4 linked regions of the Oreochromis niloticus genome follow. The protein of the gene in region 2 purifies or fractionates together with the protein of the main gene of each other region. This does not show direct contact. Links are inferred from orthologs where the notes say so. Each region holds a gene or a part of one and is shown on either strand. Other genes may lie near its edges.

Region 1 (7,428 bases), on a different chromosome or scaffold from region 2:
CTTCTGCTTGGCTGCCAAGAGAGCTCAGTCTAGTTCAATCATTCTTAAACTATTTTAGAGCTGCTCAAAGATGTAAATTTACACAGCTTTCCAACAAACTTAAACATTTAAATTACTGATTTAACAACAGCCTACACATAGACACAATATATGCATTAGATCAAATCCAATGCACTGAGTTATTACCTTTGTTGTGGCAATGCTGTTGACAAAGCTGACTTGCTGGAAACCTTTCTCGCTCATGGTGAGGCAGACCTCCCAGCGCTCGTTGACAGTCTCATGGATGACAGTAAGAGGACCACCCAGTTCATCCACCTTGTCTTTCACATACATGTCCACATAGCTACGGAAACCTGTAACCTTAAGTGTGAAGTTCATACAGTTTATATCAGTTTAAATGCATTTTATCCTGAACAAATTAGGATGGAACATGTAAGATTTGTCTTGCTAACATCAAATATTTCATTAAATGAAGTTACTAGAAATATTTTTAGGTCAGGTAAGTGACTACTTTTGATAAGTACACAAAAAGCTTTGGATTTTAGGTTCAACTTTGTGAATTAAGTCTTCAGTCAACATTTGAAACACGCATAATATATTGAAAAGCTTAATGAAATTAGTTTCCAAAACATTAAGAGTTAACACTTAAAGATCACAGTAACTTACTGGTAGCTTCTTGCTATTAAAGAACACCCGGACACCCTTAGTGGCTCCAGCAATATCATAGGCCCTCCTGGTCATCAGAGCCACTGTGTCTTTGTCCAAGATGCTCATCTTAAACTTGGCCAGATCTGGTCTGAAGGTGATGCAAGTGTATTCCTCTCCATCAAACGGTTTGATGCTAGCCTCCCCTGCTCTGCCCATATTGTCATACCAAGTCTATGGGAAACATGGGCATAACAGAAAATGACATTCTCCCTGATCAAGACATAAAAATTAAAGTGGGAAATGAGATTGACCTTCCTTCATACCTGCTTGAAGCACTTCTTCGACTGTTTACAAGCAGTCTCGACAGTGAACTTTGTACTGAAGATGTTGCAAAGCTTGGCACCGTATCCATTTCGTCCACCTGAAGAACATTTATATAACATTTATAGAGTTAGGAACAGACTGAACATTAAATTTGTTTTTTTTTTTCCTAATAAAACGCTAAAATTTCACCATTAATTGTGTTGGACATAATGATGTAGAAAAGAGTCTTTGTAATTATACAGAATATCTTCTCATTAAGAATGACAGAAAACAATCAGTATTATCTAAAGCACTCAAATTCATCAATCTTACCAGTGACTTTCTTCTCGTCATCATCATAGTTACTTGAAGTGAGAAGCTGTCCAAAGATGAGAGCAGGTACATAAACTTTCTCCACTTTGTGCTCCACCACAGGAATACCCTTCCCATTATTCCATACACTGATGGTGTTGTTTTCACTAAAAGGAACAAAAACATACACAAGCGCTTGATTTGTCAGCTGGTAGCTGTAGTAGAGTTACTTTGTATTTTAATATCTTAAACTTGGTAGTGCACCGTTATACACAACTCACGGATCAATGTTGACCTTGATGCAGGACATGCTCTTATCTCTCTGCTTGTTATCAGCTGCATTTACTACGGAAAGAGAAAGTAAAATCTATTTTTACTACATTTTACTGGAGCAAAAACATTGTTTAATAAAGGTTTGTCATGGACATCTATAATTGCAAGAGCTTTTTACTTACCAAGGATCTCATCAAAAATCTTGTAGAGCCCAGGCACAAATGTCACATCACGGCAGTTCAGTCCAGCATCCTCATCAAACACCCACATTTGCTAATGAAAGAAGTTAAATAATCACAAGGAGCTTGCATGCGTTCATTTAATAAGAACCATAACTGTGCAGTCAAAACTCCCCCCCCAAAAAACCTGCTTTAAATCTACACATGACTGTTAAAGACATTTTAAAACTTCTTACCTGAGTGACAGGCTCTACAGAGCCTATGTAGGAGTCCGGTCTGAGCAAAATGTGCTCCAGCTGCGTCTTCTTCTGATAGATCCTCTCCACTGACAGCCGCTTAGGATCCTTCTTCAGCTTTTCCACCGGCTTGTTCTCAAAAAAGGCCTGATGAAAACGACACAAGGTTATCTTTTAAGATTCATAATTCAACACTCTTTATTGTCATTATGGATAACGAAAGCAATTCTCCCTCACATGGTGCAAAAAAAATAAATAAATGAAAAGCTTTAAATAATATCAATATACTGATATCTTTTATAGGCCTTGCACCGTAACGAAGATGGGACTTATCTTTGTACTGCAGGAAACCTTAATATAATGATCAACATCATCTATAATGCTACTTGCTGACAGTTTTGCATGCCTGCGGTTATATACGTCTTCAGTTTTACTGCACAAAAAACACAATGCAAATGTACGGGGGGGAGAAAACACCCCCCTGGAAGTTGCTTGGCTCTGATTACATTTGACGCTCAAGGACACAGGGTTTAGCTCAGTATTTAAGGACAGTTTTTATTTCAAACACAATAAATAATGCGAGGTGAATGAATGCAGGGGTAACACCATTTCAACTGGCTTAGCAGCATTAGCTATAGTTAATGCTTACAAGCTGCTGTGCCAAGAGTTAGGACTAGTTGTTAAGTTACTAAAAGGAACACTCTGCAAGTAGTGCATTATTACGTCTAAACAGCGGGCACTGTTACATTAAGCAGCTCACGACGTTAGCCAAGTGCCTTTAACTGTTTCTTAGAAGTTTAACTTACAGTTGTAGCAGGTTAGCACGTAAGCCTAATAACACGTTAGCAGCAAATATGAAAGCGACAGTAACGTTACCTTCAACGGTTCAGCCATTCTTCTTGTATTTAATGTTAAAGCCCTTCGTTTGAAATATAGTACACTCTAGGTTTGCAACAAGCTAAATAAATCCCAGCTACCCCCAATAATAACGGCTGCCTGCACTAAAACGTTCCTTCGCTGCCTGAGCTGAGGTCCCAGTTTGAATATTCGAAATTTTGTGGAAACATCTCCCGCCAGCTATATTGACCAATCATACTACTGAGCGCGTGACGAATTCCTCCAATGAGAGAAGCAAATCCGTTCTTTTTCAATTAAATAACCAATCGTAGACGGTAAAAGTGGCATGAGCCCACCCATCTCTTGTATCACAGCCAATCAGCTTTCAAAAAGAAGTAACCTACGTGCTGGGAATTCAAGTACAGACAGGAAAAGAGTTAGGAGGGAAACAAAATAGCCTGTTTCCTTGTTTTGGATAAAAAATATCCTGTCAGCTCTATTTTTATAGTGTCCAATGAAGAAATGTGACCTATATTTTATTATTACTATTTTGTTTTCAATGTTCTTGGATTTTTGTTCTACAAATACAAACGAAGCTTTTTCTCTCTGATGTTTTCACGTTTCTCGGTTTTTAAGGCTGACTGAGCAGTTCCAAACGTGAATCTTTACTTTTTATCAACTGTAATACAATGATAATAATAATAGTAACTATCATAACAATGCGCTTTCCAGAAACACACAATAAAGGAACAAACTAAGACGAAGTTATAAAGAAATTACAAATCAACTAAAATACCTCATCCTTTATGGCAAAACATTATTTAAAAAAATATACTAAAATAAATTTTTCAGTAGAGATGAAGACACTGATGAGGCAAGACAGATTTACTTAGGTAGGTCATTACACAACGAAGGACCCCTAATAGCATCAGTGATTTGAGGCTCCAAGAGAATAATGATGTAAGATGTAATCATATCAGATTGGACATAGAGTAAATACTATCAGTATGTCTCCTTCTGGGTCTGATTATATATTTTTATTCTGTTGCTGCATAATCCAATCCAATCAGAGGTCATATCTGAGGAGGGGAGCTTGAACATCTATGCTTATTTTATCTCATATACAGCATATTTCCCAGAACTCATGTATTCATCTAGATAACAGACAAAGTTTTACAGGTAAGAGATTCCTCTCACATAGGAAAAAAACATTCATACCAATTCAACTAAAAGAAAGATTTTCAAATGCATTACAGATGTGCACTGATTGTGGACTGGCTTGCTCATGCAACAAAAGCTCACTAATACTGAGATCCAGGGTCAGCAGGCTCAGCCCCCCACTGACGCTGGCAAAGGGCCCATAGCCTGATTGATGTCACTTTCCTTCCTCCAACTCCCCAACTGCAGAGAAAAAGAGGACATGATGTGAAGAAAAAGGGAAAAAAGGAAATGGATTTTGTTGTCTGGTGTTATGATTTTTGACACTTTTTGGTCACTTGGGATATAAAGCATGAGTGGCCTTTTAAATGTACAAAACTTGCCTTGCAAGAAAAGTGTTCTGTTTTTCTGGGACCATGGTGCTCACTTCTTTTTTCTTTTTACACTAGAGTGTACTGGATCTTTCACTTGATTTATCACCACCGCTGCCACTTTCTGTCCTTTGTCTCTCTTTTACTTGCATAAAATACAGGAACTGCTTAAAATCTGTCTAGTGCTCAATATCATATTTCTTCTTTTATATTGTTCCTTTCTGTCCTGGACTCTTCCTATGTAGCTGCACGATACCCCAACACTGTGTTTTTTAGTCATTTATCAGATAGACCTTCACTTTTTCCCAATCCTCTATTCTACTGGGATAAAAAGATTCATATGTGATGCTAAGAAAGCATTACTTCAGCAGCACAGTTTTATTCAGCTCTAAGCAACCATCTCTCTTCATATTTCTTGTCTTGTGGCTATCAGTCAATGGAAATGCAGTAACCTGATTTATCCAACCGTTCTACCATTCTTATCTGTCTTCCTCTGCTATGTTGCCCACTCATCTGACCTTAGCATGGTAATAATAGGGCGGAGGAGCTTGAGTAGAGCTGCCTCGGTCCGGTCGATGTAGTGGATTGCAAGTACACTAATACACCCACAGCTGCACACATGAATGAAGGAGCGAGCACACAGAACTGTTTATCTGATATTTTTTTGCTTGGTATTTTCAGCCAAAAAGATTGAGTTATCTCCTTTAAGAAATCTAAAAGAATGTGCCTGCTGCCCTCACACTTTCAATGCACACAGGGTTGGACATGGTAGCTTTAAAAAAGACTGTTTTTAAACAAGAAAACAGACAGTTTATGTGGTACCTTTACAATAAGGGTGCAGAATTTTGATCAGATCAACATATCACATTTGTTAAATGCATACAAAACAACATGCAAAAATAAACATTTGTGGCCTTCTAGGGATTTTTGTGTCTTTTGGACACTCAAACATTATTTATTACATTCCACATTATATATCTGGACTATTTCATCTATCTATCTATCTATCTATCTATCTATCTATCTATCTATCTATCTATCTATCTATCTATCTATCTATCTATCTATCTATCTATCTATCTATCTATCTATCTATCTATCTAATATCAAGAATATTTTCTTTAATGATTAATAGAATACATAAACCTTTGATTTTATATATTTCTGTTGCACTTTTTACTTTTAATGAGGACAAATAATTTTTTAACACTGTGTAAGTCTCACACAGACTTTCTCTTATCTAGCAGAAGTGGGCAGTTTGAAACAGGAATGCTAAGTACTTAGCATCCAAAAATAGTCACCCTGCAAAGTAGATGGACACTCTCAGTAGCTACCACCTGCCTTCCTGTTTATTTATTGATGGCTCTGTGTTTTCTGAAGCTTGACTGCTGGGGACGGTGGGAGAAAACGAAACTTGGAGTGTCACAGACGTGTTGATAGCTGTCTGAAGGAGATGCTTGATGTGGCTTGATGAACAGTGTCTTACAAGGAAAGGGCTCCTTTACGGATATTAGTGTGACAGGTAAAGAGCTGCTCCAACTGAGCACTTGACAAGCTTGTCAGAGCTTGTCCAGGAGAGCGTTTGGGGATTTGTGAAAGATGTGACAGCCAAGAGTGGAAAAAAAAGATAATTTTCTTTATTTTGGCTTTGCATCCATCATAGACCGCAAAAGATAAGCCAAAGATATTGGAGTTAATAATGACCCTGCACTGGAATCATTTTGATTGGTAGTGACTAGAATGGACAGGTTAGAAATGAGTAAATCAGAGGAACAGCTCAGGTCGAACAGACTAGAGAGAAAATAAGAGCGGCAGAGCTGAGATGGTTTGAACGTGTGCAGAGGAGGGATAGTCGATAAACTGGACAAAGGATGCCGAATATGGAGCTGCAAACCAGGAGGAAAAGAGGAAGACCACAGAGAAGATTCATTGCCTCTCTGAGCCTGGTTCTGCCGGAGATTTCTTCCTGTTAAAAGGGATTTTTCCTTCCTACTTTTACCAAGTGCTTGCTCATAGGGAGTCATGATTGTTGGGGTTTTCTCTGTATTATTGAATGAAAGTTGCTTGAGTTGACTTGTTGAGTTGGGTTGTTGTGATTTGGCACTATATAAAGAAAACTGAATCATGATGTGATTTGATACTGTGAACAATTAAAAAGTCTTGTTTATTTTATTAGAAATGGGGTTCATCAAGCATTGGGTATATGTACCAATTTTGTTGTCCACCACTGAACATAAAACTATCTGCTGCACTATAAAACTGTAATAACAAGTGTCTTAAAATTACTTACAGTATAATCATTTCTTATTTTCTGTAAAAACTTGACTTGCTACCCTAAGTATTTGCGGGTGAATATAATTACATCATAATTTCAGATTTTGGAAATTATGCCCTTAGCAGGCCCTTATATAAAGTGCTACCAAATGCTCTTTACGAGGAGTAAGTGTCAGGCAGTGGTTTCTGTTGGATTTTACTTATATTTGATTAAATTCCCCTCACAGTGTGTGTAATTATTTCCTGGCAAAGACTTTTCCCTGCGAGTAGCAGGATAAGAGAGAGCTCATAAAAAAATGATGACAATGAACTAAAATGAAAACAAAATTACAGCTTTAGGTCCACTGTGAATATTTTGGCTCAGTCAATTTCCAGGTGTGTGACAGATAAAACGACCGCCAGTGAATGGCTTAAGGTAGAAAACAAAATCTCAGTAGCTCAGGCCGTGCTGGATGTGAGGAAGAAGGAGCTGTTACTCAATATTTAAACCTTCAACACTTTTTATTAGAGACAACAGTGTTTAGGAAGGAAAATAACATCTTAGAGCAAACGTCTAACATTCACAGCATTAATATACAGATTTTTTTTCTCCTCTGGTTGCTTTCTGGGTCATGTTTTGACCAGCACATTTCCAGCTGTGTCCTTGGAGGTCCACAACATGACCTTTAAGGTGAACACCCCTCCCTGGCTGTCATTGTGAATACAGTGAGGGACTAAGAATTATTATTAGTTTGAAAGGGCAGCTCAGACCACCTCTATCCTGTGTTTGCAGGCAACTGCGGGCAACAATAGTAACTTAACATTTAAAATTGAACAATCAGTGATGCAGTGTTATTT
Region 2 (7,029 bases):
ATTGGCCCTCTAATTTTGACTGACTTTACTCTTTATTCATGTGGGACAATTTAGCTTAGCATCTCTGTAATTACATGGATCAATTAATATGAGATATCACATATATGCTGAAATCACACATACGGGATTATGTGAGATTGAAAAAGACATATGTGACACATTGCTTTTGAGTGTCTTTATTACCTGCATGATTCTGTCCTGAGCAGCAGGGGTTCGTGGGGTTCGTAGCCCTGTTGCCATGGTATTGGTGACACTGTATTCTGAGAGGAGGGTGGAGGAGGCGGAGTTAGCGCTTTCACTCTCCTCGGCAGCTTGACGGGCGACCTCACTGGCGACACCCAATTTGACAACTTCCTCCAACTCGACGTCACTGATCTGTGAAGAAAGCCAATTAAAGAACTTAATGTACTACCTGTTATCAATATAACAAGTACATTATATTGATATATAAAATCCAGAAGTAATAAAATTTTAAAAAAAAAGTGGTTACCTGTGGTGCGGGTAACACCAGTTTGGAACGTTTTTTGGTAAACTCAGCCACTCCACTGGTCTGCAGGATAGCAGATGGCAAGTCACTCTCCTTCTTCTTCTTTATCTTCTGTTTATCTTTCTTCCTCTCCCTCTCTTCAGTCTCACTATAATAATAATAATTTAAAAAAAAAACACAACAGGGCTTACGAATGGATGAAAACCAAAAAAATGTGGAACACATTTTGATCCTTATTATTTATATTATATACCATCAGCGTGACATTCTCACGCCTTTGCTGGGAGAAGTCAAGACCCAAGGAAAGTATTCAAGTGACATAAACAAGGAGCCATGTTAGCATACAGAAAAGCACCAGTAGTTTAAAGTGATACTAACTTGCGTAATTCTCCATCCAAGTGCTGCTGTCTGAGCCTCTTGAAATTAGGCTCCTGAGCATCATACTGCTCCATGCTGGTGTCATAGAAACCCTTAAAGTAAACAAAAGACAACAATTACTACTGTAAGATTAAGTTAATCTCACTGCTGATGTTGTGGGTTATTTTTAAGGATACAACACATAAAGCTGTGGTTACCAGTGCAGGTTTCTTTTCAAAAGGGATTTCAGCATTATAGTCTACTCCTCTCTTCTTCTTTCTCTTCTTCTGAACATCGATTCCTGCTGCTCTCAGCTCTCTGCGTTTCTGCAGAGCAGCCAGCCGCCTACAGTATGACACCAGGAAAAAAAGAGTCACATATGATCATTTTATTATTACATGTCAACTGCTCTGTAAGAGGTAAAGTTATGATAAATACAGCTTGTCTGAGGGCAATTGTAAAAGCATTAAATTAGCTGAACCTGGCTTCCTCCAGCTGTTTCTCTCTGGCCTTCCTCTTGGCTTTCTTGCCCTGGGTGTTGGCCAAACGAGCCCTGGCCTCTGAAAGCATCTCCAACTCATCTACAGACCGATGAAGACAGACAGACACACAAAACACATTGGTTAGTTACCACATATGACTGTTATGATTAATCTTAAATAATTAAATATAAAAATGTACAAGATAACTAGGAAGCAAATCCATTCTTAACACAAGGACACATTCTCTTGTTGGCTCGATAAATCTGACAGCATCTGACAGTGTGTTTTTGTACCTTCGTCCATATCCACAGGGTCAGGTCTGGCAGGTTTTGTTTCAGGATTGGGATCAATTTCTCCTGGTTTCAACTTTCTGGGGTCATCTCCCACTTCCTCCTCATTGTCTCTTTGAGCTGCTTTGTCCCTGAATAAAACACAAAATGCATCTCAATTACAAATCAGCAATGATTAGCAACAATGAATGCTCCTGGACATACAAGGTGAAAAGCCACAGAATTACAAAACATAGTGAATAAATGTGTCTTTAGAGATAAACATACAGCAGGTATTCGTAGTGTTCCAGACACTGAGCAGCAGTCCTTCCTATGATAGGAGCAATGGTCCTCCACTGGGTGGGCATCAGCTTGGCCAAGTGAAGCAGCTTCTCCTCCTCTTCTCTGGACCATTCTGTTTTCTTGATACTGGGGTCCAACCACTCGTACCTACAGACAGAAACAAAGCCAGAGGAGAAGGTCTTTATTTCGCTCTTCTTAAAGAGAGATTTGAAAGCTAAAAAAAAAATCACAGACAGAAGAAACAAACATCAATGTATGTAGAAGTTTAATTAATCTCATGTTTTTGACACATCACACATCTCTGACTCAAAACTCACCATCGGGCTTTACACTGTTTTGCAGACTTTCGGTGCAGCAGGGAGGCGATACGGGACCACTGGTTTTTCCCATATTTCATTACAGCTGCCTTGAGGATCTCATCCTAAATAAATTTTTAAAGAAGGAACAGACGTCCATAAATTAAATGGATGTACTAAATGACAAATGATTTAATCAGACTAAACATGTCAAAACCCTTTATCCTCAATCCGCAGTGGGCTGATTCATTTTCATCCCAGTGCTGAAAAACAATTATATTATCCCCTATCTTTTGCTCACTTATAAAAATTTATGAAGTCTTGTGGTTTGTTATTTTGGCCATCTAGATTGCCAAATATTCGCTAACTGTAAACATGTATGTTTAAGTGCAAATTAAAAAGCTTCGTGCATACAACTCAACACAAGCACGAAATAAAGTCTTAAAACACAGCTGGCGATAATTTAAATAAACTTTAAATGCCACACGGGATAAATTCGTTAAGTGAGTAGCTAGCTTCATGCTAACTCGAGACCATAGGTTTGCTTTCGGAGTTTAGCATCATGCTAACCAAGCTAGCCATGTAAACACGTACCTCAGTGTTGCGCCAGACGCCTCCTTTAATCATAATTCGCGGCATCTTGGCGGCTTCGTTGTATCTCCTCCTTCAGTGAAATGCTATAAGTGATTCTTATCCAGCTGTGGTGTTTTGTAGCTTTAGATTAAAACAAAACAAAAATCCAACTACAAACCAAGCGCTGCGAGGGAAAAAGCGACATGCACCATACCGGAAACTCACAACGGGTGCACCACATGAATTGTGGGTAATGTGGTCGACGAGTAATGACGAAATTCGATGACAGTTTCCTTTACCACCTCCCCTTTCACAACTTGATAAAACAGACAAAGGCAAATATCTATGAAAAGCACTCACCATAGAATTAATACATGTTAAAAAATAAATAAATACATTTACTAACTTATAAAATTATTAAAAATTGTAATAAAAATGTATATATAAATCTGAACATTTAAACATAAATAACTCGTATAAGAAAATAAAAAATGAATTAATTTTTAAAAACACCTTTGGAAAAAAACGTCTTGATGCATTCTCAATCATCCAGGAAAGTAAATCTCCAAAAGTTGAATCTGTTCATCTGGACGTAGCGTTTTGTGGGAGAAACGTTTCGTCACTCATCCAAGTGACTTCTTCAGTCTCAGCTGACTGCAGGTTTCCCCAAACCTTATAAACAGGACATTTGCATAATGACTGAAACCAGCCCACTGAAGGAACAATGGGCTGTGCGGTCAGTTCCTTAATCATAATTATGCAAATTCCCATGCAAATGTACTGTTTATAAGGTTTGGGGAAACCTGCAGTCAGCTGAGACTGAAGAAGTCACTTGGATGAGTGACGAAACGTTTCTCCCACAAAACGCTACGTCCAGATGAACAGATTCAACTTTTGGAGATTTACTTTCCTGGATGATTGAGAATGCATCAAGACGTTTTAACCCACTTTGGCAAGGACTGCCTAAAGCTTGTACTTCAGTATGAGCAAACAGCACGTAAGATGGCGGACTACAGGAACCACCTGAGATTCAGCCTCAGATGCCGACAAAACAGGATTACTCCTAAAAGTCTGCAAATGAGCTCTTCAGTTAAAGGCTTCCGGGCAACAAAAATCCTCCAGAAGGCACAGCATCAGTTGCTTAATGAACGGGTGAGGCAGACAAATTTTACCATCGACATGCTAAAATCTCAAGAGGAGCGGATCCGACGGAGACTGACTATGCTTTTAGATGAGAATACTCTTCAAAAGGTCTTTGACTTCACTGAGAAGGCTCGTCTAGCACAGCACAAGAAGTCTAAGACCAGGCAACAAAGGAAGTTCGACTTACTTGTTGTACGTCGGAAACCACCGCAAAATACGGAGAGTGTCCTCAGTGGCCAGAAGAGACAAGGATGCAACATGGAGGATGTGGACAAGTGGGTGAAGAATTTGTCTGACAGACAGCTCACCCAAACAGAGAAAAACATCCTTGCTAAAGGGTTGAATTTTGCTGTCACACCGAGAAAAATCCCGCTAGTGGAGCTGATCACAGCCACAGAATCAGCAATTCGTAACAACAATATTTCAGAAGTGGAAGCAGAGCAACTACGGACGAAAGTTTCGGCCTATCTCAGCAATGCAAAGCCCCCAGCATCCAACATCTCCATGGAGGAGAGGAAGGCACTCACATCACTTAGTGATGACAGCAACATTATCATCCTTCCGGCAGACAAGGGTAGGTGCACAGTATTGCTTAACCAGAAAGACTATCATGAGAAGATTTTGTCACTACTCAGTGATGAAAATACTTATGAGCCCCTGAAACGAGACCCAGGAAGTGGTTACAGGAAGAGGGTGATAGACTGTCTGAAGCAGTTAGAACAAGACAAGGCTATTGACTGGACCTCATACCACAGGCTGTACCCAGGGGAGTCTACACCAAGTCTGTATGGTTTACCGAAAATACATAAGCAGGGTGCACCTTTAAGACCAATTGTCTGCATGATCAACTCGGTCACCTATAACATCTCCAAGTTTCTGGCTTCAATCCTCAACCCGCTGGTGGGCAGCTCTGAACACCACATCCAGAACACCCTGGATTTTGTTGAGAAGGTGAGAGATGTCATTATGGAGGCAGATGAAACCATGGTCTCGTACGACGTTACATCTCTCTTCACTTGCATCTCAGTCACGGAAGCGTTGGAGGTAGTCCGTAAGAGATTACAGGATGACACCAACCTCAGCAACAGGACCACTCTCAGCATCGACCAAGTGTGTTTGCTTTTGGAACTGTGTCTTCATTCCACCTACTTCACATACAAGGGTCAGTTCTACAGGCAGAATCATGGGTGTGCCATGGGCTCCCCAGTTTCACCCATCGTGGCCAATTTGTACATGGAAGAAGTGGAAAAGAGGGCTTTGCTATCCTACCCTGGAACACCACCAAGCCATTGGTTCAGATATGTGGATGACACCTGGGTGAAAATCAAATCTCAGGACGTACTACACTTCATGGATCACATTAACTCGGTGGACCGACACATCAAATTCACCAGGGAGGATATGAAAAGTGGCAGGTTAGCCTTCTTAGACTGTGAGATTTCCATCAGTAATGGGGGACATCTAAAAGCTGACGTGTACCGTAAACCTACACATACGGATCAGTATCTAAGGTTTGACTCTCATCATCCACTGGAGCACAAACTGGGTGTCATCAGGACACTACAACACAGAGCGAACACCATCCCCACAGACACAGCGGCCAGGGAGGCAGAAGAACAGCACATCAAGAAGGCCCTGAGTAAATGTGGCTATCCCAGCTGGACTTTTGTCAAAGCTGGAAAGACACCCAAAGAAAGCTCCAGCCGATCCAGGAGAGAAGGACAACCGCTGCCCAGGCGAAAACCTGTGGTGATCCCATATGTGTCAGGAGTATCGGAGCAGTTGAGACGCATTTTTTCGAAACACCGGGTCTCTGTGGCTTTTAAACCCCAAAATACGCTGCGCCAAAAACTGGTCCACCCCAAGGATCGGGTCCCCCGACACAAACAGAGTAACATAGTGTACGCTGTTAAGTGCCAGGAGGATTGCCAGGATTTATACATCGGGGAAACCAAACAACCTCTGGCGAAGCGGATGGCACAACACAGAAGGGCTACCTCGTCAGGCCAGGACTCTGCAGTCTATTTACACCTACAGGCCAGAGGACACTCTTTCAAGGATGAGGATGTACACATCCTGGACAGGGAAGAACGCTGGTTTGAGTGCGGAGTCAAGGAGGCCCTTTACGTGAAAAGGGAAAGACCATCTCTGAATCGAGGAGGGGGCCTAAGGGTACATCTTTCGCCATCTTACACTGCTGTGATTGCAGCCATTCCCCAACTCTCTGTGAATGGGACTCATGGCCATTGATCAGTGTTCTTTGATCAGTGGGTTTTGGTCAGTGATTGTTGATCAATGGTCATGGGAATTTGCATAATTATGATTAAGGAACTGACCTCACAGCCCATTGTTCCTTCAGTGGGGTGGTTTCAGTCATTATGCAAATGTCCTGTTTATAAGGTTTGGGGAAACCTGCAGTCAGCTGAGACTGAAGAAGTCACTTGGATGAGTGACGAAACATTTCTCCCACAAAACGCTACGTCCAGATGAACAGATTCAACTTTTGGAGACCTTTGGAAAACATATTCTCTGTGTATACACATTTTCATTTAATGAGAGCATATCTATTATTCCATATTGGTGTTACATGTAGCATGAAAATATGTTTCTCAACCAGTTTCGAATAGATAGGAACCGTTGATATGTAAGTTCCTGGATTCAAAGCATAATAAAAAGTCTATCCCTCCTAAATTTTGAAATGAAAAAGCAAATAAGGTATGTTAAACCAAAAATAACGGTCTACTATTAAGAAAAGGTTTTAACCATTTTAACTTTAAAACAACCAACACCAGGTGGCATCTGTCATTCTGACAAGACTTGCATATGTCGAGACATTATGTCATTAAAGGTTATCAGGCAATCAAAAGAAATGTGCAGGATGGTCAGCAGAGTACAGCTGAGACACAAGGTCTGATGCAGTGTCCTGCTGACCATTTGAGTGGATGAGGAAATACACAGCTGCTTGCTGTCTGGAACTCAAAGTCCCACAGGACCTTACCTCTGTTGTTGTCAGTCACCTTTGTGGTGTCTCCCATAGGGACTTGGGGACTTTTAGTCCGTATGTGGCACAGATGTTCCTCACCACTTGGTTGTGCCTCTCAGTGTATGCGGTCTCAGTT
Region 3 (7,457 bases), on a different chromosome or scaffold from region 2:
TAAAGACAAATGCGGCCTTTAAATTATTTTTTTTTTGACTGCTTCTATGAAGGTTCGCTAAAGTAGTCGACCTGCCTCCATCTCCTGCTATCCCAGCATCCTCCTCTCTCACACATGCTGTCTGCATGTCCTCATGGAACAAAATATAAATGAAAATGAAGTCCAGTCCAAACTTCCGCAGGTAACGTCAGTGAGGTTTGTGGTTGCTCCTAAACACTACCCCTGTGGAGACGGGGCTGAAATCAGTGAATTAAAGGCGAGGTGAACGTGAGCGTACCCTGCAGAGGATGGAGGAGGAGGCTGCTGCTGCTGGCTGTACCCGGAGAATGACGACTGCTGGCTGTAGTTCATGCTGGACGGCTGGTTGCTGCTGTTATAGCCTCCGGAGCTGTAGGACTGACTTGAGTGACCATACCCACCACCGCCACCGCCCTGGTTGGAGGATGGAGACCCGTATCCACCTGGGAAAAGGAAACTGATTCAGAGGTGACTGGAAAACAGTGACTGTGGATTTGGGCGGACGCTGGGGCTTCCTCTACCTGACTGAGGATGGCCGTAGCCGCTATAGCCTCCCTGATTGTAGGAGCTGGAGCTGCTGTCCGCGCTCTGGTTGTAGCCTCCGTAGCCCTGCTGGCCGTAACCCGGGCCAGACGACTGACCGTAGCCCTGGCTAGCACCGCCACCTCCACCATAGGATGGATAGCTGCACACACCAACCAAGAATACACCATTTCAAATCTACTTTTTATCATTCACTTACAAAACAAAATTATTTCCACGGTTAAATGCAAGGACTTACTTTTCTTGTTTTAACCCAAATTCAGAATCTAAATGTATTTTTCTGGACGAGTATTAATAATGACAGAAACCTTCATGAATGAATAAAGACATGATTTACATAACTCACCCCTGGCTAGGTGTTTGGGAATAATCTGAGGAGAAAAAGCAGAGAGGGTTAATATTGAAGATAATTTTAATGATAGCAATCAAACATCCAAACAGTGTCAGACATAATCTATAAAACTCAAACTCAACAGTAACTATATAAGACAGATTTTAATGGTAATTATTAAATTAATAAACTATATTCTATCTGTAAAAGCCCTTTTTAAGAAGGCCAGCTTTTTATCATCCAGAAATGAAAAACAGCAATACTTAGGCTCAGTTTTCATGACATGCACTAAAACTTATTCTCTTTCAGTCTGGGAGTAGATTTAATCCATGTCCGGGAGATCTGTCCAAACCGAACATAATTAACAAAAACAGACGGATTTAAAGTGTTTCAGATTTCCAACACTGTGAAACTATTTATGAATACATTAAACACCACATCAGACACCAAATCCACTGAATTCAAATTTGTCAGATCTGTCTGAAATCTTACTTTTAAGATTATGCTTAAAACTTTTGTTTTTTGACGTAGTTAGGACTGGATCGGGGGACCCTGAACCGACAGGCTTCCCATGACGCATTTCTTCTTCATTCACACCACTCTGCATTTTATCATTTGTTATTATTCATCTCTGCTCTCTTACCCCCAGCTCGGTGTTATGGACGAGCCTTGAGGGTCCTGAGCCGCCCAGTCAAGTCACTGTGCAGCTGTATCCTAATGACACACGTCAGCCGTAAGTTACACTAAATCACATGATAATGGTAAATGGCCTGTATTTGTATAGCGCTTTACACATCCAGTCATCCACCCATTCACGCACATCACACACTGGTGATGGCAAGCTACGTTGTAGCCACAGCCACCCTGGGGCGCACTGACAGAGGCGAGGCTGCCGAACACTGGCGCCACCGGGCCCTCTGGCCACCACCAGTAACGGCAACGGGTGAAGTGTCTTGCCCAAGGACACAACAACCGAGACTGTCAGAACCGGGGCTCGAACCAGCAACCTTCCGATTACAAGGCGAACTCCCAACTTTTGAGCCACGATCGCCCCGTGAAAAACATAAACACCCTTATCACTGATAAGCTACTGCAGTGCAGCTCAGTTTAATGATTCGGTTTACAGCAGTTTAGAGCTTCCTGTGCAGGTCAGAAGTATCTCTGTGTCTCATCTGTGTGTGCAGTGAGCTTTAAAACATGACCCTGCATGAAAATGGCAACACAAATGGAAAAGTGACGAGGATATTGTACCCTAGTGTGTGTGTTGTGAGTTCAGTGATCCAATCAAACACAGATACAGTCGCACTTTTATAACTCTAAACTTTGAGTGTCCTGTGCCTATATGTTTGGAAATATGTACACCTGTTTATTTATTCTGTTTTGTGTTTTTCTGGAATAGCAAAGTCCTCCCTGTTAAAGTCGGTTACCCTCCAGTTCAAACACCCAGCCTGCTGCTCCCTGCCCTCAGCCCCATCAGGCAGATGGCTGCCCCTCCCTGATCCTGGTTGTAACGCAGGGTTCTTCTTGTTAACAGGACCTTTCCTCACAGGGAGCCATGTGACTGTTCTGTGTTGTCGCAGGCTCTTTACCTCACAGTATTAATAATCCAGCCCACAGATGCCAAAAAATGAATAAGGAAATGTCTTTCATTATTTTGTGTTGAGTTGGATGTCCGGTGTAGGTAGGTGAGCTGGTTTTTGCTCGGTCTCCGCTCTGATGTGCTTTTAATAAACCGAGGCCAGAGGTTAAAGCAGCGGATCGGCAAAGGGGAGCGGTTTCCCTGCTCGAGACCGCAGTGAGCCACCAGAAACTGGGTCAGCAGCAAAACCGGGCTAACGGCGAGCTAACCGGACCGGACCGGAGCAGGCACCGGTATTACTCAGTTAACCTAAGCTAGGCGGTGAGGCGTCCTGCAGCCGGACAAACGGTGGCGTAAGGCCTGCATGAATTAAATGTGAGGATGGACGCCACGCCCCCAGAGAGCCATTTAAACTTCAGCTAGCCGCTAGCTGTCCTCTGTTCACCGGCAGGTGAAGGTGATGCTATCTTTAGCTAACCGCTTCCGACGCCCAGACACCGGACAGATTTACCAGTTTCTCTTACCGTTAGACGCCATTTACACGGAGACAGCGCCGCTTCAGCCTTTCTCTCGGTCAAACAGCGGGTCGTTGGATGATTAAACCGAAGAAGAGGACGAATCGACACGAAGCTCGACCCACTAGCGCTGCCGTCTTCAGCTGCTGTTCCTCCGCCGGCCGCCAGGGGGAGCGCAGCAGTATCGATGCTGTTTAGTTTTATATCGGGTGGGAAATGGTGCATCAGCTTTTTTTTTCTTTTTTTTTTAAATGAACTTTATTTAGAACAATAACAATGACAAGCTCAAAGAGACAAGCGACATATTGAATCATTCAGAACAGAATCGCACCTCCGTTTTCTTTTCTCCCAATCAGAGGAATACACATCATTGCCACAGTGCAGTTGGTACACCACAATGAAATCAATGAAATCGACAATGACTGAAAGTAAACATACATACATACATATGCAAACACACACATTTATACACACACGTCTACATAATAATAATAATAATAATAATATAATAAAAATGAATAACCAATACAAAAATTAAATAAATAAATAAATAACAATAAAAAAGAATAAAAAAAAATGAAAAACAAGGAACAGAAATAAAGGAGACAAGGGGGATCATAAAATCTCTAAAAGTGAGGTTCCATAAACAAGACACATAACTTAAATAAGGGGCTAAGAAAAATCAAACTCTTCTAAAAATCTATGCAATTTGATTGCTTGGGGCTTATTTATTAGCTTCAGAGATTTACGGAACAGGGAGAGTTCGTTTTTAAGAGCAGCCCATGAAGGGGGGGATTTAGCATATCAGCATTTATGAATGTAATACTTTGTTATAATAATGAGATTGTTAACTAAAAACTCACTATTTTTGTCCTTAAGGATTACTCCAATTTGAATATTTTGAAAAGACCAAAAATCAATATTTCCATACTGGGACAATATCAGGACATGGAGGGATTTCCATAAGTTCTGGATTGTCACACACCCATAAAACATGTGCTCTGTTGTTTCCGAAGTTGTTTTACAAATATAACAGTTGTCTAACACAAATTTAAATCTGTCTCTCATAAATTCATTGGAGGGGTAAATAGTTTTTTGTAGTTCTAAAATGGACTTCTTTAAATTTGGGGGGAATTGGAAATTTTAAATATTTGGTTCTGATCAACGAGATCTCAGATTTGTTATAATCTTTAAAATGGTAAATGGCCTGTATTTATATAGCGCCTTCTAGTCCCTAAGGACCCCAAAGCGCTTTACATATCCAGTCATTCACCCATTCACACACACATTCACACACTGGTGATAGCAAGCTACGTTAAAGATGAGTGTATGTTTTGTCCTACCTGGATATAAGATGTTAACCAAATACCTCCTCAGAAACTGATTATTGCATTTTTCATTAACCAAGTCAAGACCATCTAATTTAATTTTATGTAAATTTGGAGTCGGTATATTTGAAAAATTGTTCTTTATCGTATTGACTAGGACTATTGGGATATTCTGTGAAACCTTTTTGTACAGCTCGAACGAGCAACTCATGTCATATTTCTCATTAAACCTGTTTAATTCAAGTGTATCTCCATTTTCATCCATTATATATGTCACAGACCAAATTTGTTTTGTCATTCTTCCACAAACATAGATTTCCCCCGATTCAATATCACCCTATTATTCCACAATGGAACGTTGTGGGGACTAAAGTTATGTTTAAACATTAATTTCCAATTTAACAAAACTTGTTGATGAAATTTGGAGAGTTTTATGGGCAGTTTAGAAATTTCAAAATCACATACTAAAAGGAATTGGATCCCCTCAGCTTTGTTGAAAATATGAGATGGTATCAAAAACCAGATCTCATTATCATTTTTTAAAAAAGATCGGAGCCAATTAATCTTTAAGATGCCATTCATTATTTCAAAATCGATTGCTTTTAAACCCCCCTCTTCATAGTCTTTTATCAAGTCCCTGTTACTGATATAATGATGTTTATTTTTCCATATGAAATTAAAATTCAGCTTATTGATGTCTTTTATAATCCTTGGTGGGATGGCTAGGGAATAAACTGGATAGATTAATCTGGACAAAGATTCAACCTTGGTCAACATTATCCTGCCGACCAAAGTTAAATCTCTCTGTAGCCAATGGTTTAGGGGTTTTTTTGCATTTGTCAGTTGTATTCTGAATATTCTTTTCTTCGCTATCAGCCATGCATTTAGTTAGCCAAATTCCAAGATATTTGATTTCATTTTTGACACGTATATTGTACAAAGAAGAGTGAGAACAATTGTGGATACTCATGAGTTCACATTTGTCCAGGTTCAGGCGTAGTCCAGAAGCATCAGAAAAGATCTTTATTGTATCTAAGGCCAATGGAATTTGTTCTTTATTTTTTAGAAAGATTGTTGTATCATCGGCAAGCTGACTTATTATTAATTTGTGGTTATTTATGTCTAATCCTTCAATGTTTGAATTTATGACAGTAATAGCAAAAATGATGCATCATCTCAACGTGTTTCTGAAATGTGATTTCTTATAACACAAAATAGTAGTATATTAATCAAGCCATGCAATAACAACATGTGCCGGAACATGCAAAACAGTGCAAAAGTAACATGCCGAAACTGTTCAGACAGTGAATGGACTGATTTTTATATAGCGCTTTTCTACTCTCCCAGATTACTCAAAGTGCCAACTTGATACCAGATCCTGGCCAGACCTGCTTGCTATGTGGGCACTAACACACACACAGACACAGTTACTTTACCAACTGACCCCTGACCCCTGAGCTCCTAAGTGTCCCTCAAACCTCATACTCCTCTACTTCACTGTCACTCCCTGAAAGCTCTCTGTCCTCACTTTCTGAGGACAGAAAGTGCACATTCCCTTGGTTTCCTTGCATAAAAGGTATTTACATCCATGTCCTGTAATTATGGGTAGATTGTAAAGTAAAAAGCATTGACTATGATCATATAAATGCACACAAACACATCTCTACACACATATGCAAATGCACTATATTGCCTGAAAAAAATTGGGCTAACTGCGCAGTGTTGCCTTGAGGCAACGAATGAAAATTAACAGTTTTACTATATAAATAAATTTTAAAAAGTAGAAAAAACAATCAAATATGCTTCTTAACATATTCATGCACATACAAGTATTTTTTTAATATACATTTATTTCACTATAAACATGTAAAATAGTGATCTTTATCTTGTCTCCGAATGGAGATGTCTCTCATGTACTGCAGCTTGCAGAAAGGGGTCCTGCCCCCCCCCCCCAAATATAAGTCACACCACCTTCAACTCATCATTTTATTGGAAAGAGATGTGCCTGGTAGCATTATTTGAAAAAAAAAAGTTGGTTTTTTTTGAAGGGCCAGTGTAAGGCATGAAAATGTGGTTTGTTGCCTCAGGGCAACGCTATGCAGTAGAGGGTTAATAGTAATAGTAGTAAAACAGTATCATTTTAATAACAACAATAATAAAAATAATTTTTAATCACTTTTTTCATTTTCTTCAGAAGGAAAGTCAGTGAATTTATGATGACGGCAAAAACAGTAATGACAAACCTAGTTTGAGAATTGTTTGGGGTGTTTCTCTGTCCTTTAGATCTCACTGCGAAAGAAGAATCCATAAAAGCGGCCATCACTGCATTGAACATGCATGGGTAAAGGACCAAGTGCCTTTATTTGGATAGTGGCAGACCTGTGAGAGCAAATAAACTACATTCAGTTTCATCAGTGAAATTTTTTATTATGAAAATACAGTAAATATATTTTATTTAGTTTCCATCTAACAGTCCAGGAGTAAAAGGCAGGCCTGCACTTGAGGATCACTTTCCTGAGAGAAACTGTAAAAGTAAACCCGTCTGTTTTCATCACCGTGGCAACATGTTTCCACAGAAACAAGCTTCATCATCACTGGTAAGTAACTACAGAGCAGGTGTGATTCCTGCTGTAATGATCGAGCACATCTCCTTCAGTTTTCTGTATCAGAGAGCGTCCTGTGTGGTGACTGTGCTGAGGTGACCACACTTGTGATGTTGCTGCATGTTTACTGTCAACAGGAAGAAACAGGCAGTTTGTTTCCTGTTTGTTTGTCGGGGTTGCCGTGGTCGTGTCTCGGTCAGCGGTCTGGGAACTTGGACTTGAGTCATTCTGTTGTTCCGAGTTTTTATTCTTGTTTCTTACTTCTTTATCGTCCTGTTTCTTAGTTCTTGTGACGCCATCTTTGCTTCCTGTTTTTACTGTGTGATCTTTCCAGAGATGCGTTTCAGGTTTAGGGTTACGTTTCGGTTTATTCTTTATCGTTTCCTTGTGTATTCCTCCCTTCTTTCCCGTCTGTTTTCACTGTTCCCTCTCCCCAAGACTTTTATTGTTTTAGTCTTTTACTGTTTTACTTTTGGATATTTGACCTTTTGTTTCCTGGTTCTGGATGAAGCATCTTTCTGTTTTGTTGGGCCTGTTGAG
Region 4 (6,977 bases), on a different chromosome or scaffold from region 2:
CAGTTGGTCTGACAAGCAGATAAAGAAAATGCAGTTTTAAATCTTTCAGCTATTCCCAGCTCCTTTAATATTTTACATAGCAACCTAAAATGTCAGCACTGAATGCAAACATATTTGCCAACAGTCCAGTAACTGTAAGGCATCAATCTGTTAGTGTTTTACTGCGGACGACTTGAATCACAATGGAAGAAGGGTGACCAGATGCCCACTTTCTGTGGGTCTGCACTGCATTTTGTGTCAGTCGTTCTCACGTCCCTCATCACTGTACATCATACAAGCACTTGTCTAAAGTCTGTCTTTTATCCAATGGCTGTGAAGGAAGAAGGGAAGACTGTCATCACTGACACGGTTTAGACAAATGCTGAAATTAAGGTTTATAGGTGGTGTGTTGTTATTACGTGGATAGCTCATCTACCTACAAGCAAGCGTCTCTTGTCAGATGGCGCACGTGTCAAAGGAGGTTGTCTGTGGGCCACATGTGCTGTTGATCAACCAGCCAACCGTGGAGAAGGGCGAAGTTATGACATAAACAGCTGAAGTGTTTAAAAACTAGGGAAAGTATAATCTGCGGCCACAGTCTGTACTTTGTGCTTTTTTCTGTATTGTAGTGGATGACTGTATGACACTAATGCTCCAATACAAGCCGCTTTAAAGCTCGCATCGGTGCGAGGAAAAACAACAACACCAAACACTTGATCAGTGACATCTGCTTCGGTGTGGACCTGACTGAAATCACATGACTGGTCCAAACAAGTTTATACTGCTATGCAACGAGAGATGCTTCGTAACCCCTCATCAGAACCATGTGAATGTGTTTTCGAAAGCTGTAAAGTTGTCAATAGCAAAAGAAGCCAGGTCAGTCTAACAATGGTGGAAAAAAATATCGTTTCTCAATAAAAATCTTCAAATCCCCTGTACATAAGCACACCTTACCATCCCAGCACATCCTGGGCTTCCCAAAGCACGCCTCCTTCCAACTATTACATAAGTTTACAGAATCAACTGACCGCCTTTGCAAAATTGTATTTATATCATTCAAACAAACCCTTGTTACAATCAGCACATGATTATCGACACATTGTTTTGCTGACTCCTACTCCACCACTAGATGTCACTGAAACAAAGCTGTGAATGAATGAACCCATTTTCAATGCAACTGATGAATTGGCTCAGTACTGGTTCTATGCTTCATTTGCACATCATTTCTTTGTTGTGTTTCTAACATTCCTGGTGAACACCGCTGTTACTTCCTTCCCACAAACACAGCATCATCTATGTTGACTACTGTGCAGTTTGGATTATGGAGGGCTGCACTGGAGCACATTTAACAGTGGAGAGTAATGACATGAAGTCACGCAGTACACAGAATTAGCAAAGCTAACAGTTTTATCTGATTTAGAGTTCTGTGGGAAATCTTTCTAGGTCCTATAACATTTATGCTGTGTGTGGTGCAGTATGTGCTAATTACAGTGCGGTCATATCCCAGCATTTCATAAGCAGTGCCAGCTGATAGAAACAAATAAAATATCTTAGGTTACAACTCTTTGTTGAGGTTAGATCTGTTTTCCCCCCCCACTTCCTCCTTTGTATATCCCCCGTCTTCCATTTCGATAATTTCTGCAAACTCCTTCCAGGAATTCAGTGACATCTATAAATCCTTATACTGATGCTATGATTGCTATTCTTTTATTAAGAAATTGAAAACAGCAGCGAAGAAGTACAATGCACAGGAGGACTTAATAGTGCTTTCCCACTGAAGTATTATTGGGACATGTAAGGGAATACACAAGCATAAGAAGACTATGGAACAAACCTCACTTTTTGTGATGCTCACTGTATTTACCAAAAGAGGGAGCTGGGAAAGTTACATTCAGCTAAAACCAGTTTATTGATCTTTAAAATGATTAATCGCAAACCTGGGACCTGCATACTTTGCTTATATTTAAGTGAGACACATGTATGTATGTATATATATATATATATATATATATATATATATATATATATATATATATATATATAAAAACATTTCCCAGTATTTCCACAGGACTCTAGCTTTAGGTAGAATTGGGTGTTGGCTTGAAAATGAGCCCTACAGGCCACCGTTACATTAAAATTACTTTGAAACAACTGAACTACAGCAGTGTTAGTGGACTGAATTAGCTTAGTGTAGCTAATAAACTGCAGCACAACTAATAAAAGCGTTAAGGCACCTCCAGCTGAGTCCTACCTGTGATGGTGCCGTGGACCTGGGTGCCGTTCTTCAGCTCGATGGTAACCGTCTCATGGCTGAGCTTCATCAAAAACCTGTGGGCATCGTGGAAGAAGACGAACATCTATGTTTGAGTTCAGCCTGGAAATGAACCACAAACTAGCCTCAAGCTAGCTACTAGCTGCATAGCTTTCAGCTGCAAAACAAAACCACCCCAGGAGTGAGATGACCTTATGAAAACCCGCTGAAACCCTCCAGATTTAACCGCCATAACTAAAACAAATACTGAACTAGCTTTGTGCTCCTGCTACTAAACATTTAGGTTACGTTCATTTCGTTCGCTGAGTAGCAGGTTAACCAAGGCCGGGCCTGCGAGTCTGCTAACGTCCACGAACCAAAGTATGTTTAAAAATCGTCGATGCATAGAGCTAATTTCAACTACCGAGCGTCAGGGTTAATACTGCAGGTGTATTTTAACTACGAGTGTGAGCATTGTAACTCCGGACAGCCTCCATTCATTCGGCCCGATGCTTCCCGCTCATATCTTATCCTCCTCTTCTCCGCTTTCCATCTAAACCCATCCAGCCGCAGCACCCTCACTCCATCATCCCACGTTCACCTGTTCGTTAAATGGCGCATTCCAGACTCTGCTTACCTGACTAGTTTCATGATGGTGATGGACTGTAGAGACAAATCCTCCACCAAAGAGAAAAATTACAGCGAGCGGGTGAAAACACACACAGGCCGCTGTGGTAACAATTACGTTTGACTCGCGCACTTACGACGTCATTAAAGGAGCGACGGCGACGAAGAAGAAGACACGCTGCACGACAACACTGCCGCCTACCGATGGAAGAATAAACAGCGTTTTGAACATATGCCCCGAATCTAACAAATCTTTGGATTTATTGAACTTTACAGAAGCAAATATTTAATAGAAGAAATGCGTATATATATATTTTTTATTATAATATATGTTGTCAAAGTGTCAACATAAATGTAGTAAACTGTAACAACAGTAAAAACTTACTGTGTGTAAACTAAATAACAAATAATCCAAAAACGCTACAATACAGTGCAAACGTCTTGAGATACCCTTATTTCTTTCTACTTTGCTAGGAAAATAGATCTTCTTCACAGACATCCTTCCAGTGAAAAAGATTTCTGATGAGACTGACAAGTAGGTGTATGAACTGAAGAGCCAGATGCATCCCTGAGGTGTAAATAAAAACTGAAAGACCTTCAGAAAGCCTCAAGAACAGAGATCGAGAAGTTTGGCTGCTTAAAAGCAAAATATAAAGAAAGCAAAGGGCGACTCAAGTCTTTTGCACAGTGCTGTGTCTTGTTTAAGTCTTTGGCAGTTTGGTCGTACTTAGTGAGGCTGAGATGCCGCATTGGATTTGTGCTGTAATAGCTGAATATCTAAAAATTTTCCTCCTGACAGATTACAGAAATAAATCGTGAAACTAATCAAACTAAGCATTTTACACAATGAAAACAAATTAAAATAAGGAAAGCCTTCCCGAACCCAAAATCAATTAAAAAAAAGTAATAAAAACAAATGAAAAATCTAACACTTCTGCTCTCCTGAGGTGCAGCTGTGTTAGTTTTTCAAATAAATGCAGTCTAAACCTAAAGATAATGGGTTTACTTATCATTTCCATGTACATGCTAAGAGCTGTTGCGGATTTGACAGCAACATGAAGTGAAATAATGTCAGTCTACCTTGTACATTATGATAAATAGGAGACTAATCAGGGAACATGTTCCCTTTTCTTGCTGATGGAAGTTCAGAAATCAAAGCACTAAAACAAAAAAATAAAAATGTCACTGCAGTGCACTTTCAGTTCTTTTTATTGAGAGTAAACTTTGCACTGACACTTTCATTTTTAGTTTTGGCCACACATCAAACCCTTTCTTTTGACCAGCTGGGAATGTATCAAGTATAATCTGTGAGAGTGCAATTTCAATCTCTTAAACTCTGAAGATGTCAGATGAGGGAGCACTAAATCATAAACACTAATGCAACTGCTTGTGTGACGCCATCGACGGCACACATACAAAAAAGGGAATATTTAACCGCTGTCCCTCTGCAGCCCGACCACACATCCGACACTCGCCAGCATGTTTCTGCGAAACAAAGACGCAGTGCGTGCCCAAACACTGACGTGAATCCCTCTTTCCTCAGGGAGTGGAGCCTGAAATGTCACAGCTGCCCTCACATCTCAGCGGGCTTCGTGCAATGCTATGAGCCAGCCACCTTCACAGTTCTCACTTTATCACTTCAGGTTTCAGAAAATGCTTAAAAATCAGTTTTAAGTGAGTCAGTTTGAGTTTTACAAAGGGTGTCTTTGTATTTGTCTGGCATACCATCAAAGGACATTTAAAATCCTCACATTTATTCTCATTTCACTCCCCAGAGCACCAAATCAGTCCTCATCACAGCAGGCAGTGTTTAGTTCCCTTGTAAACATTGTATTTGGGCAATAAAGTTTAAAGATTTGAGGCTTGATGACATCCCGGCAGTTACATCTCAGAGGCGGTGTCAAATCAAAGGTCAACATTCACATAAAGTGTTTTTTAATCATCGTGGAAAAGCAGCGGATTCCTTCAGAGAGGCTCAAAGAGGTTTTTCATTCAGGGCTGAAAATGTGGGCGCTGCGACTCACCCGGGGGGGGGGGATAAAACAAAATCAGTGTATTAAAGTGTTTTCATCATCATCTTTCATTATGAAGCATGTTTAAAAAGCAATGACACTAATAAATAGCAACAGATAAATACAATCAGAACAAAACAAAACAAAGAAAAAGGCACACAGATCCAACAACTCTGGTCTCAACAGGAAGAAACATCTTGTCTATAATTAAAGGAATAAAAAGAATCAAATACAGTAGAAACCCAAACCCACGTCCCGTCAATTAGAGCACACTGCAGGGCGCTATAGGTAGTGGAAAAGATATGATAAAAAGTTACATAAAACCATAAAATGTGCTCACATTTACAGTATTTGTTATGCCTGCTTTGGCTCAGAAACCGCACGACTCAAAGAACCGACTCACACGAGCACCAAACAATAAACAGATTCATGAATCAGTGCAGCAGCGTTTTAACAATATATTCTCATTTATTTATTTTACAGTCGTATAAAAACTGTTTACAGCAGCTTCTGTGAAGACAAAACTTGTGAAAGTGGCTGAAATCTCACTTTTTATGAAAAATCAGCTTTTTTAAATGTGCTGCAGTGTAAAGTCAAACTTTAAAACACATTGTGCATAATCCAAAGTGATAAAGCATATTTTAGTTTACCGTCTGCTAACTGTTTACTCTTTTAATTGGTTAAACATTTAATAATTTTAATTGGACGACTTGTGTGAAGCACTTTAAACCTGTTGACTGTATTTTATTTATCAGGTTTAATAAAGTAAAGGATCATTCTGAAGTCAGTCTTCAGCTTAAAATGCCAAATTATTTCCTCCGTGATATTTGTAGTTTTTTAAAATCAAAGCAACTATGAATGATCTGAGGAGGTTAAATACTGGATATCATTATTCTCAGATTAATTTGATTGGTTGATGCATTACCTCATTTAATACCCACTGTATTTTGTCTGCTACGTGAGATCTGGTGCACAAGTACTGAGCCAAAGTGGCAGAAAAACACTGTAAATCTCTGCAGATTAAACATGAAGATGCATCTTTGATACAAAACATTTGAAATGTGCAGCGAGTGGCAAAAAAACAAAACAAGACAACCCCCCCCCCCCCCAAAAAAAGCCCAAACAGAACAAAAAACAGAGAACTCAATCCACTCTGCAAACAAGCACCCACTGAACTTCCAGCTTTATGGGCGCTGCTCTGCAGCTGGGACTGACCTCTGACCTTCACGTGCAGAGAGGTGCTGTAATAGTGTGACGTTTACGCAGCAGACTGTGCCAGCCTGCTGAAAAGTAAGATCAGGACTGTATTGGCACTAACACAAACAGGCACAGTGTGCATGAAGGTCCAGAAATCAGAATTAGGCCCTCTGATTGTACAGCACGCTATAAACAGGCTCCAAAGTTACAGTTATCTTCATATATTTGGCTCTTGGAGCTCTGAACTGGCTTGTGGTTGGGTTAGTGTGAGAATCAAGTGTAGTTAAATGAGGCAAGTTTGGATTTCAGCATGAACAGCACCAAAACTTCACCCTGAACAAACTTAGGAGACAAACAGAAGAGGTGGGGAATTAAATTAAAATAAGAAAAAAACTAAACTAAACTAAAACATGGAGCATTTTGTTGTGTTATGATATCAGTAGCTCTCCGTTCATGGTTTAAACACTTCAAAGAATAATTTGTCTGTTTTTAGAGCAGACAAAAAGCACTTAAAAATAATCAAAACGTGTATGACATCATCTTTACTGGACAGAGTCCACAGGTCTTTAAGTCCTCTCTAAATACAGTATAATACATACAGTAAACACTCCACCCCCCAAACACAGGCACCACCATCACACATCTTCCATCATCCATCAGTGCTTCTCTCTGATTGGTTTTCTTTCTCTTTATCTCGGCTCTACCTTCTCTTTCTCTCTATATCTGTCACTTTCACACTAGGTGTTCCTGCTCCGTCCACTCTTCAGGTGACCGGTCCTCCTCTAACTGAAGGACGAGGTCTGAGTCTCTCTCCATTGCCGGGGCAGTGTGTGCGGGACTGTTTCCATGTTGGGAGTGTGAGTGCGGGTGTGTGTGCGCTTCGTCCAGCGACAGGTCAGCCACACACCCTG

What was found.
Region 1: the proteins of cdc5l (region 2) and top2a purify together in Homo sapiens (affinity purification with mass spectrometry; 3 studies listed by BioGRID, with this or other methods). This does not show direct contact. The link is inferred for Oreochromis niloticus from reciprocal best matches to the Homo sapiens genes CDC5L and TOP2A.
Region 3: the proteins of cdc5l (region 2) and fus purify together in Homo sapiens (affinity purification with mass spectrometry; 4 studies listed by BioGRID and IntAct, with this or other methods). This does not show direct contact. The link is inferred for Oreochromis niloticus from reciprocal best matches to the Homo sapiens genes CDC5L and FUS.
Region 4: the proteins of cdc5l (region 2) and snrpd1 purify together in Homo sapiens (affinity purification with mass spectrometry; 4 studies listed by BioGRID and IntAct, with this or other methods). This does not show direct contact. The link is inferred for Oreochromis niloticus from reciprocal best matches to the Homo sapiens genes CDC5L and SNRPD1.

The regions. Positions count from the first base shown.
Region 1 is NC_031973.2:19,732,791-19,740,218, reverse strand, and holds the start of top2a (DNA topoisomerase 2-alpha), read right to left. Parts: upstream 3,017-7,428; 5' UTR 2,846-3,016; coding exon 2,828-2,845; intron 2,099-2,827; coding exon 1,952-2,098; intron 1,810-1,951; coding exon 1,719-1,809; intron 1,609-1,718; coding exon 1,545-1,608; intron 1,431-1,544; coding exon 1,285-1,430; intron 1,070-1,284; coding exon 972-1,069; intron 880-971; coding exon 667-879; intron 361-666; coding exon 187-360; intron 1-186. UniProt on the Homo sapiens protein: Key decatenating enzyme that alters DNA topology by binding to two double-stranded DNA molecules, generating a double-stranded break in one of the strands, passing the intact strand through the broken strand, and religating the broken strand.
Region 2 is NC_031978.2:5,910,863-5,917,891, forward strand, and holds the start of cdc5l (cell division cycle 5-like protein), read right to left. Parts: upstream 3,016-7,029; 5' UTR 2,834-3,015; coding exon 2,789-2,833; intron 2,320-2,788; coding exon 2,216-2,319; intron 2,046-2,215; coding exon 1,884-2,045; intron 1,748-1,883; coding exon 1,620-1,747; intron 1,426-1,619; coding exon 1,326-1,425; intron 1,190-1,325; coding exon 1,063-1,189; intron 958-1,062; coding exon 866-957; intron 636-865; coding exon 491-635; intron 376-490; coding exon 184-375; intron 1-183.
Region 3 is NC_031969.2:32,751,484-32,758,940, reverse strand, and holds the start of fus (RNA-binding protein FUS), read right to left. Parts: upstream 3,009-7,457; coding exon 2,996-3,008; intron 933-2,995; coding exon 908-932; intron 704-907; coding exon 540-703; intron 462-539; coding exon 278-461; intron 1-277. Other genes in the region: uncharacterized protein LOC100698127, read left to right, coding at 6,948-7,012. UniProt on the Homo sapiens protein: DNA/RNA-binding protein that plays a role in various cellular processes such as transcription regulation, RNA splicing, RNA transport, DNA repair and damage response. Binds to ssRNA containing the consensus sequence 5'-AGGUAA-3'.
Region 4 is NC_031985.2:21,348,557-21,355,533, reverse strand, and holds the start of snrpd1 (small nuclear ribonucleoprotein Sm D1), read right to left. Parts: upstream 3,023-6,977; 5' UTR 2,882-3,022; coding exon 2,868-2,881; intron 2,308-2,867; coding exon 2,231-2,307; intron 1-2,230. UniProt on the Homo sapiens protein: Plays a role in pre-mRNA splicing as a core component of the spliceosomal U1, U2, U4 and U5 small nuclear ribonucleoproteins (snRNPs), the building blocks of the spliceosome.